Linked DNA regions of Oreochromis niloticus. The protein of the gene in region 1 purifies or fractionates together with the protein of each later gene. This does not show direct contact. Links are inferred from orthologs where the notes say so. Each region holds a gene or a part of one and is shown in the gene's direction. Other genes may lie near its edges.

Evidence for each region.
Region 2: the proteins of bach2b (region 1) and mafk purify together in Homo sapiens (co-immunoprecipitation; 3 studies listed by BioGRID and IntAct, with this or other methods). This does not show direct contact. The link is inferred for Oreochromis niloticus from reciprocal best matches to the Homo sapiens genes BACH2 and MAFK.

The regions. Positions count from the first base shown.
Region 1 is NC_031980.2:29,165,196-29,173,001, reverse strand, and holds the start of bach2b (transcription regulator protein BACH2), read left to right. Parts: upstream 1-4,786; 5' UTR 4,787-5,265; intron 5,266-7,654; exon of another isoform or gene 7,655-7,701; intron 7,702-7,806. UniProt on the Homo sapiens protein: Transcriptional regulator that acts as a repressor or activator. Binds to Maf recognition elements (MARE). Plays an important role in coordinating transcription activation and repression by MAFK.
Region 2 is NC_031969.2:25,402,670-25,410,249, forward strand, and holds the start of mafk (transcription factor MafK), read left to right. Parts: upstream 1-4,571; 5' UTR 4,572-4,802; intron 4,803-4,852; exon of another isoform or gene 4,853-5,291; intron 5,292-5,615; exon of another isoform or gene 5,616-5,889; intron 5,890-7,580. UniProt on the Homo sapiens protein: Since they lack a putative transactivation domain, the small Mafs behave as transcriptional repressors when they dimerize among themselves.

The DNA.
Region 1 (7,806 bases):
CAGAGGCACAAGGACGTAAATGCAGTGCTGTCAGCCAGCAAGCATGTCTTGAAGCCAAATGCCTTTGATTACATCAATAGCTCCAAGTCTGAGAGGGACCCAAAGACCCAGCTAACCACCATTCATAACGGGGGCTTCCACAGACCGACTCGTCAGGCTCGTGTTACCTTCAGGCCTGATCCATATTCTTGTAATTTAGGAATACGGATCTGGCCTGAGGGTTCCAAAGGTTCCACTAGCATCCCCTCACTCCACATCACTGCATGGACCTTCCTTTTTCTGTCATGAAGAAATGACATGCTGTTTTTATTAGGTCTAACACTTAGACTTCCTGATTATTCCTAAATTGTTTGTCCACATTGTAGGCTCTGTGTGGTAAGGCTAGTACATTGTAAACATTTGCGCTACCACTCCTGCATTAATCTGCCACGGTTTCCCCCAGTTCCCCCACTCAGCCCATTTCAATCATCTGCCTGCCCTGAACAGATCGGGTCATTGGGTGCAGGAATGGCAGTCTGTGTGTGTGTGTGTGTGTGTGTGTGTGTGTGTGTGTGTGTGTGTGTGTGTGTGTGTGTGTGTGTACTCTATAATTAAATTCTCTGTATGCATTGAGAGAATGAGCATATGGATGACTGTCAAAAACGCACACTGAGACAAAGACGTGACACTCATCTCCCAACACTCTTTAGACACAGGGCTGCTCCCACCTCCTGAAGGCCCCCGGCCCGGCTTTGAAGGCCCATGGCTTTGCATATAGGAGCTAAAAATCCTCATATGTCCTGAAGGTTTCTGCAAAGATTCATATGAATATGAATATCTTTACTAATCTGGGGGATTAGCTGCTGCATTGTCAAACAATGTCTTTAGACTCCCCAAAATCACCCTTTGACAGACTTCTTTGCTTTTTAGTTGTCATTTAGCTCCTTATTTCTGGGCGCCCTCATTTTCCCCTTCCACATTTGACTTTTAAATTATGAGTAATGCATGCTAAAACATGATTTTCCTCCAAACCTAAGAAGGTAGATGTAGTGGCTTTTAGTGTGTGGAGTTTTTTTTGCTTATTTGATTATTTATTTGACATTTTATGTTAATTTTATGATGGTTTTTTTTTCTTTATTTAGTTTGAAAGCTTGAAAAATATGTACTTCTTATCTAGACACTGCAGCTTTGATCATCAGAAGGATGATTTCTTGACATATCCTTTAATTAAGACAGTCCATGTTTCATCTCTGACTGTGTTTCATTATTCTCAACATGTTAATTGCATGTTCAGTGTTCATGATCAGGGCTTATTTATTTACAAATTCTTGTTTATGAATTATACTAGAAGAAAATTAATAAAATGAACTTACAGTCATGAATTATTATCACCACCTCCCTATTCATACTGTACAAAAAATATAATAACTCCCTGTCTTTTATCTAAGCACCTTAAAAACTGCTGGCTTTGTTATTTTGATGTCAGGAGCAGCACAATTTCAGATTGTTAGTTTAATGCTATTCTTTGAATGCCACTCAGTGGAATATCCAGTATCCAATATCCAAGTAAATTCTGCCACAAAGAAGGGGCTGTATGTTTTACAATGATAATTCATAATTACATGCAAACTCCCCAGGGGACATTTCTTCCATTAGAAATTAAAACATCTCCAGTGAGTGTTTACTTGTCCAAAAAGGGTGCGAGTGCCTTCCAGGTATCTAAGCTGAACAGAGTTCACCAGCTTACTCCCCTTTCACAACTTCACTCAGCTCATAAAGCACCATTCATTTGCATTTGCGTTCATGAGAAAACAAAGTGGTTTTTGCACTAATTACGGTCTCCAGGTTTGAGTGTGCATATTACAATATTAGAATATATTCTTTAAAAAGAAATATGAGCACTCATATTCATCACCATCAAGGCAAACTGGCAACAGCCCCACAGCCTTATGCTTTTTGGTTCCTAAGACCTCGTCTGTGTCAGATGTGAGGAGTTGATCGAATATTTGTAATAAGTTGTGGCCCAACTGACAGTTGACTGAAGTTCAACAAAAGAGCAATCTCTACTTGAATGGTTACATCTGAATTGTTTTTAAAGAACATATGAAATAATACTGTCAGCTGTTTGAGGAGGAAATAGAGATATTCTGTTGTCTTCTGTCAGTCCTACTGTACAATCTTTTTTTTTAATGCTAATGTGTTACCAGGAAACTAACTATACTTAAAATATGAGCCACATGATAAAGTTTCAGAGCCACATGTTCGAAACAAACAGTAGCACTGAGAGTAAGCTCAACTATAAAATAATTAACTTGAATTAAGATGTCATTTTTCCACTGTGTGTGATAAATCCTAAGAGCAACAATTTTCTGCAGCATGAATTTTTTGTCTTATTTGTAACAGCATTGCTTTTTACTGTTGTATGTTCTTTAGAGATTTCCAATCACCATTTTCTCATCGCTATCTGATAATGTCTCTGATTTGAGAAGGCTGCACTAATAAGGGTCATTTTGTGTGAAGAAGAATAAATGGTTAATGGACTGGTCCTCATATACTGGTTTTCTAATCTAGCATTCAAAGTGCTTTTCATTCACCCAATTTTTTCTATGTTAAAGTGTTTTCTCTCCCAGATTCAAACTCCAGGAGCATCAGGAACTTGGGGTTCATTATCTTGCCTAAGGACACTTTGGGTTAGTCAGGGATCATACCACTAACTTTACAATTAGTAGATGCTCTGCTTCACATGCTGAGCCAAATCTCCTTGGCGTAGGATGGAAAGTTAATAACTTTCTCTTAATTGCCGTGATACCTGTTATCTCCAACTGGAGTTTTAGGTTTTTTCAAGCCAGCTAATGCAAAGAAAGCTTGGCTTGGTTGAACTTCATTTGCACAATATTCCTTAGATCCTTATATCTATTTGTGTATTTATTTATTTAGTAGCTAAATTATTTAGTAGAGACCCACTTTACACTGCACACAAAGCATATGTATTATAAACATTAATTTAAATGATCACAGAATAAAAACTGAATTTCTTATTGAATTTCTTAGGTGAGAAATTTTTCATTTGTTTTTCATAATTTCATATTGTTTTTTTAAGAACTTGCACTAGCCAGAGTGCTACAGTTATGTCAAACTGTTGTCATGACAGGACATGGACTATAACTTTTCTTAAACACTTTACTGAAGTAAAGTTTTAATGAACTAGTATTTTACTATTTTTCTATGATATGATAACATTACACAGTTTCTGTAGATTTGTTGGCAGCACTTTTAAGATGTGAATCTCCTGCTCCATTACATCCTAAATGTCTGTTTGTTCTGACTGTGGTCATAAATGGGTGGATATGGTCGGGAAGAACACTTGGATATGCTGTGGCATTTAAATAATGCACACTGGGTACTAAAGCCAATGGAAATAGCCAAAAAAAAATATCAACCATGCCAAAAGACCATCGCCAGCGCTGAATATTGCAGTACAATTTAAGACTCGTCATACCAGGCAGCATTTTTTTTTCCAATCTTCTGTTAACCAATTTTAGCGAGCCCATACAAACTGTTGCCTCAGTTTTTTGTTTTCAGCTGGCATGTGTGGCACCTGGTGTAGTCTTCTGCTGCTGTCGCCCATCTGCTTCAAGGTTTGCTGTGGTGTGTGTTCAGAGATATTCTTCTGCATAACAGGTGGTTATTTGAGTTGTCTGACAATTCTCCTCTAATGTCTGACATTAAAAGTGGCCATTTTGCTCAGAGAACTGCTTTCTCATTTGATATCTGCTATTTTTTCACACTATTCTCTGTAAACCTTTTAGATAGTTGTGTAGGAAATTCACAGCAGATCAGCACTTTCTGAAATACTCAGAGTAGCCTCCTTCAACCATGTCAGCTTTAGCATCACTAAATCACCACTCCTTTCCATTCTAATGGTCAATTTTAACCTCAACAGGTCATCTTGATCATATCTACACACCTAAATAAATTCAGTGGCTGCCATGTGATTGGCTGATTAGATATTTACTTTAATAATGCATTTTTTTATTTTTATAACAAACAGTAGAACAGGTATCAGTGAGCTTTCTGTTACTTGACATTTATTTTTAACATTTTTCTTACTTATTATTATCCACATTTAAAAATATCAGTCTTCTTAATATAAGTTATTAGAGATAAATGTCTTTGCCAACTGTTGTTGTTGTTTGGCACTGTACAGATAAATTCTAATTGAAGTAAAAGTTATCCCATGTATAAGTAATTTAACAACATTATAGCTATAAGTAAATAAATAAATAATGTATAAATAATAGATAAATATTTGATTCTTAAAAGGCTGAATCTGCCTAATGATTATTTTTACTTTGGTTACTTTAACTATATTTTCATTCTGACACACTGACTTTTGTGTTGTTAATTACGTGGAAGTTGCGAGCTTAAACTATTAATTATTCTTTTTGCAAATGTGTGTCAGGTAATGAGTTCAGTAAAGCACATTAATAAATGAAAATGGTAGAGGAGCGTGTGGAAAACGAAAACATTAAAGAAAATAGTTCCCACACTTGAAAAGAAGATAGATAGATTTCAGTGTTCCCTTATAAGGCTTTTAATGTGATCAGAAAATAAGTCAGCTAAACACCCCCTTTAATTGTTCTCACATGCGAAAAAAATGCCTTGTGTCATCATTAATCGTAATTTTCCCGCTGCATTCACGAGAGGGGGGAGGGAGGACCAGGAGAAAGCATGGTGTGCAGGGGAGGGAGGGAGGGAGGGAGGGAGTCCAGAAAGCCAGCAAGCGCGAGGGGGAGGGATTTGAGCTAGAAAGTCAGAATAGTGCGATTCTCCAAGCTCCGTTGCGCACTTTCGAAGGACTACGCACGCGCTTCCCGCCGGCTTCAACGCAACGCCGCGTCGCGCTAACGATGTTGTGAATGAGAGGATGAGTGACGTCAGCGGGCGAATGTCAACAATGTAGCGACTGAGAGTAGGCGTTCCAGTCGAGTGTAACAAACAGCAGAGAAGGAGCGGCACGCCGTGCAGGATCAACACGCACACACGCGCGCGCACACGTACACAACAAATCGTAAAATCACAGACACTGTAGTGTGTGTGTGTCTGTGTGTGTGTGTTTTAAATTAACATTCTTGTAAGTGACAAAGAACCGAGTTGCGGCACCGAGAGAAGTCATCCATCTGCAACCAGGAGGGTTTGAGGAAACGGCAAACCGAGTCATCATGTGAAAGAACTTGTGGGAAACGGACAAAAGGGCTGGAGTACGAGCAGAATAGGACGGAAAAGGTGAGCTGGCGTGCACGTCTTTTTCCTCTCTGACCGCTCTCTCTCTCCCGCTCTCTCTCTCTCTCTCTCTCCTTTTCTCGCTCTCTAGCTGTTCTTTTTGTTAGCTTTCAATCTCGGTCTATTGTTGATGCTCTCATAACCGAGACGCAAACTTGCATAAGTGACGCAGTGGTAGTGGGCTACACCCAGCAGAGCTCCTGCTGAGATGCATAAAAAATCGACTTTATTGGGGAAAAAGCAGAACCGCACTCATGAATCTTGAAAGCCTGGCGCGTGGTACGAATATTGAAGCCTGTAATGTGATGGGGTGTGAACGCGGGTTCAGGAGTGAAACACAACTCTGTACCGCATCCTGTTATGCTTTGAGTCACCGCTCTCTGTGTGCTCCTCTGTACTGTTGTTTTTTTGTTTTTGTTTTTTTATCCAATATGGTAAAGTAGTCGGTGGTGATCCGTCAGGATTCACATGCAGAGTCATTAAACACCTTCCTCGTTCAATACGTGTGCATCTAGTTCATGTGGAGCTCATTAGAACTGTTACTACCGCTATTCCAGTTTATTTCACTCTATGTGAAATTATTGTATTACTGTAGGGTCGTTACCTTAAAATATAAAGCCTATTGGGCGTTGTGATTTGGCGCTATATAAATAAAATAAACTGAACTGAAATAAGCACACCTTATCATTAATCCACATTATAACAATCAATCCCTCGTTTGACGTTGAACCCATATTTCATTATTATATATATATTTCTTAGTCTGCCATCATGTTCGAGAATATAAAATAGGCATTTTTAAATCAAACTGCACCCTTCTGCGCGGAGCTGCATTGTCATGTGAGGGGATGCTGCAATCGCGTCTTAGTCTATCTTGAGTCAGTAATGTGCTGAGATGCACCTCAGTAGATATAAAGGGGCATTTTTAAGGAGACTCTTTTTTTCAAAAAAATGTGATCATGGATAATATATATCTAAACAGTGTAGTGTCACGTGCTGCCATGCATTACGACCTTAAAGAGATTTATGAGAATGTTCCTCGTTTGTGTTTACAGTGAGATTAGTTGGCTTCATATCGGCGGCTGCAGGCACTCGCGTTTGCATTGTTTCCCTCTGTCGTTAAAGAGACGCGTGTGTGCAGAGTGTGCAGGCAGGCAGGGCTTTTTCTTAATAGTGTTTGTTTCGTCATGACTATTGTTTGATGGCCATGTGTTTGCCTCGGCAGCGGAGGGGCCTGGAATCATAAGGGAGCGGAGTGATGCTGCTATAAATGCGGTGATGCAGCATTTCGAGGAAGCATACCATCCTCTTTGTCTGATAATGCTGATGCAAAGCAAACGGCGGAGCGATCGCAGCATCATGGATGGATCCTCCATCATCATGCTCAAGAACCTTTGTCATGATGCGTTGCGCATTCTTTTGAAACACCCGAAACGCCGTGACTCCACGCAGCCGCCACAGGGATGGGTTTAAGCTGTGCCGAGAGCAGGTGCATGGGTAATAGGAGCTAATAGGATCTCACTGGTGGTGTAAAGGCAGCTGACGTGAACTCACATTTTCACAGACAACGCGCTGCTTTGGCGACGCGTGCACGGCGGTGGCACTCATGCGCAGTTTTACGCACGGAACCCTTTGTTCTCTACAGTAGCCCCCTACCTTTCTTTTCCCAGGCATGGCAGTCCTCTGTGTACTGTGAGGAGGGGAAGGGGTGGAGTCCATACTGTAAACCTCACAGTGACTTTGTAAGCTTACGTCAAGCTTTGATTTCTTTGCCCATTAGTATAATCAAGACACGCGAATCGCATAAAAATAATACTTTTATAATTGCTTGTCACATTTTATTGTAAGCACGATCAGTTTAATAGATCCCTAGTGAGAAATCTCATTATTACATCACTCAACAAACATTAACTGCAAGAAGATTTTCAGTTCCAGCTGGTCTGTTCTCTGACCAGCGGTTAGTATCGTGTTCTTACCATGTGAAATGATATGTGTAAACCAGTGACTCTGCTTTTGCATTCAGAAAACACTAGAGACTTTATAAGAACCAAAGAATTCAAGATCCCTGAATGAAATCTAGAGGAAAATTTCACAACAGCAGAGATGGTGAAATAACTTTTTAAAACCTTATGATGGGGCAGTGTTTGCAAAGTTTTAAAGCCAATATTATTATTATTATTATTATTATTATTATTATTATTATTATTATTGTTATTATTATCATTATTGATCAGATTCAACTTGTGATTCTATATTTGTAGTTTTTATGTCCCAAAAAACAACTTACATCTAAGTAATGATTCATAGTAACTGCCCAGACGAGTTTTAACACAGCTAATAAGTTGCACTGCATAAGCATCAATTTATTTTCAATATATAAAAATATACTTACACTAGGTGTCCGTAACAGATCAGAGCAGCAGTACAGTCACAATAGACCTGGAAGATTACAATAATGCTTATCAATTATCTGCAACCTTACAAAACCCAACAATAATGACTGCAATGAAAAACTACCATATCTTGTTTGTTTCTTTATTAAAC
Region 2 (7,580 bases), on another chromosome or scaffold:
ATCTCTTTCTATTGGAGAAAAATATGAGAATAACAGCAATGTTTTATACTTGGACTCAGCTTTTTTGATGAGGTCTTTTCTAAAATCCCAAGTGAAAGATAAAGAAATGGCCAGCAGATGTCATCACTCCGACTCAAATGCTGCAAAACCGTGAATCATTTTAAGCAGTTACTGGCATTTGCTTAATGGGGTTCAGTCATTGCCTTGGAAAGCTTTTTCATCATCACTTGTGCCAGAGTCTGCAGATATTTTGCCATCTCATAATCATAGTCATCATTATTTCTGCACACTGTTCCTCACTACAGCTTTAGACTGGTCAAGCTTGAAAAAATACCCCTCTTCTTTATCATTTAACCTTCATTTTTAGTCTCCTTTGTGTTCCCTTGTGAAGTCGGAGGACAAAAAGGCAAGCATTGCATTTGAACTCTGAGTTTTAAGCACTTTATTATGAATTAAGAGACGAGATAGCTCTCGTCAATTCATTTGATTCACATCATGCGTTTAATTACTTTCATCCTTTGTGAAAATTAATTGAAAAAAATAAAATCCAAGCAAAACTTTGGCTGCTTTTAAGCTTAATAAAAGAACTGCATTTCGCTTTCAAAAACACCGCAGCCAAAGGTCTGGAATGAGATGCAGGTCAATCAGCTATTCTACTAAAATATGAAGATTAAATATTCTTCTGTGGAGGGATGCAGGTGCTTTTTTGCCCCATTTAGCAGAAATAACCATTTTAAGAGTTTTTGCATAATTGCTTACTATCTGGCACTGGGTGGTTGAAATTTTTTAACCACTCTTCTATCCAAAATTCCTTCAGTTGCCAGATAACCATAGGCGGGAGGGTTTTCAAACAGCAGTTCCTCTATCAAATCCTTTTTGAACTCTGGTCTTTAAGGCCATTCCATCACCTTACAGTTCTTACTTTTGAGTTATTCCAGAGTGGACTGGAGGTTAATTATTGCCTTGTTGAAATGTCCCTTTCTGATTCACTTTTCAGACAGGTAGCCTCATATTATATTCCAATAATCTTAGTTATGATGCAGAATTTATAGTTCAATGAATGATTGCCCAGCCCCCCAAGAGAAAGGAAGCAACCCCAGACCTTACCATTTCTGCCATTTCTTCATCTACTAAGCTCCCTGTGTGACAAACATGTCTACTGTTACTTTAACCAAAAATCTGCCTCTGATTTGTCTATCCAGAACAAATTATTCTAAAGCTCCCAGCCTTAGCCTGTTGGCAAAATGTATTTTACTCTTAAATTATTTGCTTTGAACATCAAAGTTTTTTCCCTGCCACATCTTCAGTACAGGGAGCCATCTCTTTCTGATTATCTAAACCTTTGCTTTGACAGCAACACTTGCATGAGCTACCTGCAGCTCCTCCAGTTAAAACTAGGGGTTTTGTCACTCTGGGGTTGGATTTGCTTTGGCAGCCGGTTCAGTAAAAACTGGCAGCCATCTAAAATCTACAGTTTTTACTGAGAGTGGAATTGTGGACCTAAAAAAATAATTAAAAAAAAAAGAGAGAACTTAAGATCGTGGCATGATGATTTCAAAGTGAAGCAGCAAACTCTAGATGGGTTTAATTAAGACAGGCTCCACTTGTCACTTTGCAAGCAGAGGCTTATTTTATGCTTATAGTGACTAAACTTTTCTGTATATAGTTACATTTGGAGAATTAACAGTGTTCATTTTGAGTGTTAATCTTCACTTTTTTTTTCAAATTTACAGCTATCAGTAGCTTTAGGGGAAAAAAAGGAGAGCATCAAAGCGTTACACTTTATAATGCCCATATTTAGTCCCGCCCATAGTCAGCAGCAGTGAATTGTTCATTCCTTAAGCATTGCTCAGCTGTGACAGGACTAAAAAAGAGAAATTACTCTGTCCTTCTCTCTGCTCTCTTGCTGTCTGCAAATTCCCAAACTCACTTTTTTTTTGCCATTTAAAGCGTAAAAGAGAACCTTGGTATTAGACTTTAAACAGTCCACCAGTGTTTGCTCCAGCTAGTACTGCCATCACTACCACTGTAACCTCACCATGTTCATTTCCATGCTGCTCTAAGCTGCCAGCTGGTTACGTAAAGTGTTTTCATATGAAACACATTTTGGTGAAGTCAGTGGAATGTTCAGTAAATGCTCCAAATTAAATCTTGTGTCACATGTGAAGTCTACAAATGTACAAAAAAAGCTGTTTTTTAGCTTTCGAAATTACGTACAGCTCAGACTGTGCCAGAGCTGGCTGTCTAATATGTCGGGTATTTTCAGCAAGTTGTGCCTGGACAATGTGGAAGGATCTAGTGGGAGGAAAACAGGATTATTATTATTTTTAATGCAGTGTGAGTTAATTGGCTGTGAGTTTAAAGTATCCTATAAATATCTTAAAACCATTCTTCTGCTAACAAATCATTTGGAGTATTTGGAAGAAAAGGAATGATCCCCTTACAACAGTGGGCCTCTTTGTACCAGATCAGATTTCTTAGGAGTTGAGAAGTCTGAGTCAGAAAGAACCCAGATTAGTGAGTCAATGTTACTTCCTGTAATTCAAAACTGCCCGCAAGAACCCAGACCCCACAGCACGTCGGTCTGACAAAAACCCCGGCAAGTCTGCTGCACATGGTTTTGCTGTTTTTGTTTTGTTTCACACATCGGGTGTATTTCAGGTCACCGGCATACGCTGCTGCCAGATGGACAGTAACTGAGGGTTATGCCATTGACTGAGCAGCTGGATGTCTGACTGGTGCAGAATATTCGCGGTGGTCCTGCAGAGACTCTCCAGTTTGATCTCTTTCTTTTCTCTGTCTGCACATTCTCTAGAAAACAAGCAATACAACAAACTTTTGTATTTTTTATTTACATTTTCTGCATTGTATCCCATCATCTTATTTCACTTAATATGTGATCCTGATTTACTTAAGCTCATCTTTAATACAGTCCAATAACAGTTATTCTAATAACTCATTTGGGTCTCGTCTCATCTATAATCTGTGATGTGATGCAAGTAACCTGTACAAAAAGAAGGTTACTCATCTGGTTTATTTGCTTTTTACTCGAAGCAGGTTCCAGCGCAGATGAAAGGACGGAGCCAACCATCCTTAGTAAACAATTGATTCCATATGTGATTCGGGGGAAAAGGTTGAACTGTTGAGTCATTTGCCATAAATGATGACATTCATTTTAAATCTATCCCAGTCTGCTTGTCTGGCATAAAGCCAGAGTAAAAAAAAAAGATTCGAAGGAATTAGTCAGTTTTTCTGTAAGCAAGCTTTTGTGAATCGTATAAAGGACTACTCCTCTCTGACTCAGAATTGTCAGTCTCCAATGTTTTTGTCCAGTGCTTTGGAAAAACTGTAAATGTTAAACCATCCACCCACCAGAGAGAAGTCTGCACAGAAAGATCTCAGCGCACTGAATCGCACAGCCAGAAGCCAACTCAGCATTTCTTCTTTATTTACTAATAAACTACAACTCATTCTTTATCTAAAGGTCACGCTTTTCGTCATGGATCTGACATCGTGTCTGTGTGCTGCTGTGTTTCCTCATTCGTCTCACCACTTGCTAAAGATAGCACCATTAAACATCACGGAACAAAAATGATTCAATAATGAAGCTGCTTTTGGCCTAAAATGGTCAAAGAAAAAAAAAAAAACTTCCCTGACGTCCTGACAGCATGTCCATGCTTAGAAGAGATGTATGGTAAATGCACAATAACAGATCAAGAGAGTATTTAACGGTTTGATATTCGTCATAGGTAGGCATAAACCAATAAATAACTACAAATGGCTGAGTATGCACTTTAATAAACCAAAACCAGAATCTACATATTTGGATGGCTTTGGATCCAGATGTTCACTTTTCCCAGGGTTTTACTGCATTGTCTCTAACAAATACAAGCTAAAAACTTTTTGCTGGTCCAACCAGCAAAAAAAAAAAAAAGAAAGTTTTTTCTAGTGTCAGCACACTGCATCTGACTTTAACAGGCACCACAGTTCAGGTCAAAGCTGAGATCTTCTAATACCATATAGCTGCAGAGGAAAAGCCATACAAGTAGAGGCCATAAAAGGCTAGTGACTTAACATATTTACATTCAGTACTTAATTACCCAGAATAACTGGTGACGCTATTGGCAGTAGTGCAGTTAAAATAAGAGAAATCCTGGGACTGCTGAACTACTACACCACATACTTTCCTCAGGAATGGAATGCTGCTGCTGCTCCTCAAGTCTGAGGGAGGAGGTCGCTGTTTTCCCTCACTCAAAGGTATTTTTTTGAATACCTTGTAGTGCAGAGCTGACTCAAAAAGAGTGTGCTTATAGGAGGAGGAGGAGGGGGAGGAGGAGGAGAGGGGGTGGTGAGCATACTTAGAGAGCAACAGGTTTATGACTTCCTTAAGAAATCAGAAGTTTTTCTTGGCTAATGTTGGCAACGTGAGCTGACTTTGTGCAGATTAGTTTTGTAAAGTAAGCAAAAGCAGTCGCCAGCAGTATCTGTCTTCTATTTATGGCCTCCCCCAGGCCTCCCCCCCCACCCCACCTCCCCAGACTGACGTCAGCACAAAGTTATTTTCATGAATGGAGGGGGCGGTCACGAGGAATCAGTGACGTGAGTGCTTGCGGAAGCAGAGCGTGGAATGTTGGTACATTGTTGTTGTTTTGTAGTTAATTTAGTACGAGGATACGCCGCTGCCCGTCTGTGCTGGACGCTTTTTACCAACTTTGTCAACTTACTTCACCGGTTGTCGAGGAAACATACTTTGACAGTTTTACGCACTCCGGTCCACAGATATCTGCGTCCACAGAGGTGAGGTTGTATTTTATTTTTTAATTTAATTATTTATTTTTTTTCGGGAAGATGTTTTGACATTCCTTTCTAAATTACTCGAGTTCTCACGGTGACATAGTGGCGCACGCAAACAGGCTTGTGTGGTGCATCCTCCTCGTAGGATAAGTTTTGATCCCAGTTATGAAAGCTCATGTTGATTTCGTAGATTTGTTTCTTTCGGGCGGACACGTGTTGTGCTGGAGATACATAATACAGTGCTTCAAAAGTGGCGCAGACCTCGGAGCATTCGCATATAGGAAGTTAGAAATGGTATGAAAATATGTAAAAGGGGGAAACAAACGGTGTGTTTTGCCGCTTTCCTGCGATTTGAAATAGTTCTTTGAAAATAACAGAGGCGATTATGACGCTGACTGAATGCGGTCCCTTTAAAAAAAATTATAGCTAATAAATTTAATAAACTGCGAGCGAGGAGACGTTTTCGACCAGCATTGTGGGAGGGAAAAATTAAGACGGTAAAAATCACACTATTTCTTCGCACTTCCCATTAAACGTAGAGCTAAAGTTATAGAATGTGTTACAGAATATGTTCATATACTATTACTAAGCACACCTGAACCTCTAAGGTTTTAGATTATAACTTTTTCTAGAACGAAAAAAACCCAAACTCCCCAAAATGCATTTTTTTCCACATGTGTGTTTATTTATAGCGTTTCTGTGACTTGAATGAGATTTTCGGAAAATGGAAGTGAAATAAACTTCCTCACTTTCCTGTTGAAACAAATTCATGTACAACATTTTTCACATCCTCCTTAATTTTCGCGCTCTTCCCCAGTTCATGGCAGCGAGGTTGATAGCGGGTGCTATAATACAGAATACCAGCCTGCTTTTGACATTGGAATCGACACGTGGTCTGCATTTTTAGACATGTGGGACAAAGGGCACGATGTGGAGTGGAGGTAGACCACCAGGGTTGACTAGCCTACAAAGAAGGAACAGCAGAAGGAACCCATATTTCCACAAACGATAAATCACTTTGGAGGACGAAAGAGACTTTATCTTATCGCTGTGTTTAGCTATAATTCCTGCTCTGCATAACTCTTAATGACTTGGGTAAATATTAGAAAACCTTGTCATGGAATTACAATAACTAATTGAATTTTTGACCATGGCTCCAAAATAGTTCACAATGATCTTCTTCACAGTCTTGTATGTCCACCTTTCAGTTTGCCCTTTGCCATTTACTTAAGAACTTGTGATCTTTTTGTGATTAATATATGGAAAATATTTGTGTCTGAGTAACTTGTTCCGCTTAGATGGTCACAGGTTGATGTCTTGAGGGGGGGCTTTATGATTCACTGTTGTTTCTGGTGGGTGCACAGTGACTTTCAGTCTGAAGCAGTAGGAGCAGGGTGTGCTCCTGTCATGAGGTTAACATGTGGTTCAATCACCAAAGTGATGATATCTTTTTTGGATGGAGAAGTTACAGCAGCTGACTCATCATACCAGTATGGGACAGTGGGGGGAGAGAAATTCCCCTGAAGATACAGCATGTGGTCAAATTGTCTTCCCTTTGTTTCTCGTTTTGCCGGACAGTGGTGATGGATGAAAGCAGTGCAGAATGCAAGACCGTTTTTGTGGTGGAGTATTGTGAAAGTGAAATGTTTGTGGTTAGCGATGCTATGACTCACAGAGAACACGTTCGCTGTGATGTGTTTTGCTCCTCTTACTGGAAAAAAGATGTCAAGTTTTGATTACTGACTGTGGAAGCCAGTGATTTTTATTTGCAGCCGAACATGCCAGCCAGAGTGGACACAGGCAATAAGAGGCGATTGTTTGAACAGGTCTGCCTTGCATCCGTCAAACGTGACTCCCTGGCAGTTATATAGCATTTGAGATTGTTCCCTCTGCCACCGGCAGCGGCTTGTATCAAGTCTTTTCTGTCAGAAAGACTGGATCTCAAACCACTGCTTTCACCTCATTATGGTCAGAGGTGTGGCAAGTGTCAGAGGTACTCCTGTAATTATATTGCCGGGTTGTGTTGCTGGGAATTCTCTGTTGATTCCTGATGGAGCTGGATGCAACTCTCGATTTTGTTGTGATTCAAACTCAAATCAAATCATTTGAAATGTTTGCTCAACCTATCTGTCCTAAAGGAACATCATCGAAATCTTTAGGACTATTATTAGCAGTGACTGAATATTAATATGTCTTCTTTTATTCACTAATTATTAGTTATAATTAAAAAAAGGACCGATGTGTCCACTTTTTTCATTCTTTACATCGCTCTGAAAACCAGTGTCCATGACTGGGAGAATATCTTCTCACAGATATTCGGTGAGATCTCCTCCCTTTCCGCAAGAAAGTTCCGCTGGTCATGCCAACCATTTCTGAGGTTCTCTGTACTTTTCCTTCCTCTCCCTGAAACAACGGGATTTTCCAGGAAATGTCAGATCAGGAGGGTGTGATTCCCTGCTGCTGGTTGTCGCTTTTACCAGTAAACAGCATGACTCACTGCTCAGCTATGCTCTCCATTTCCTTCACATAATATCCCACCAAATGTGCTGCGCTGGAGAAAGAGCAGAGTGCTGCGTGCCTCAGTCTGTGAAGAAATCTCTCCACCCCCCACCCCTTAGAAAATTGCAAGAAACGCAAGCGCTTTCTCATGAAGACTAAAGTTGAATGTCAAGGGCAGCAGTAAGTCTGCTTTGCGCTGAACCCCCTCCCCAACCTACACAAAAAGAGAAGAAAAACAAAGAATCCAGACAAGCCAGCTCTGCATTTATTAGTGAAGTGTGAGCGCA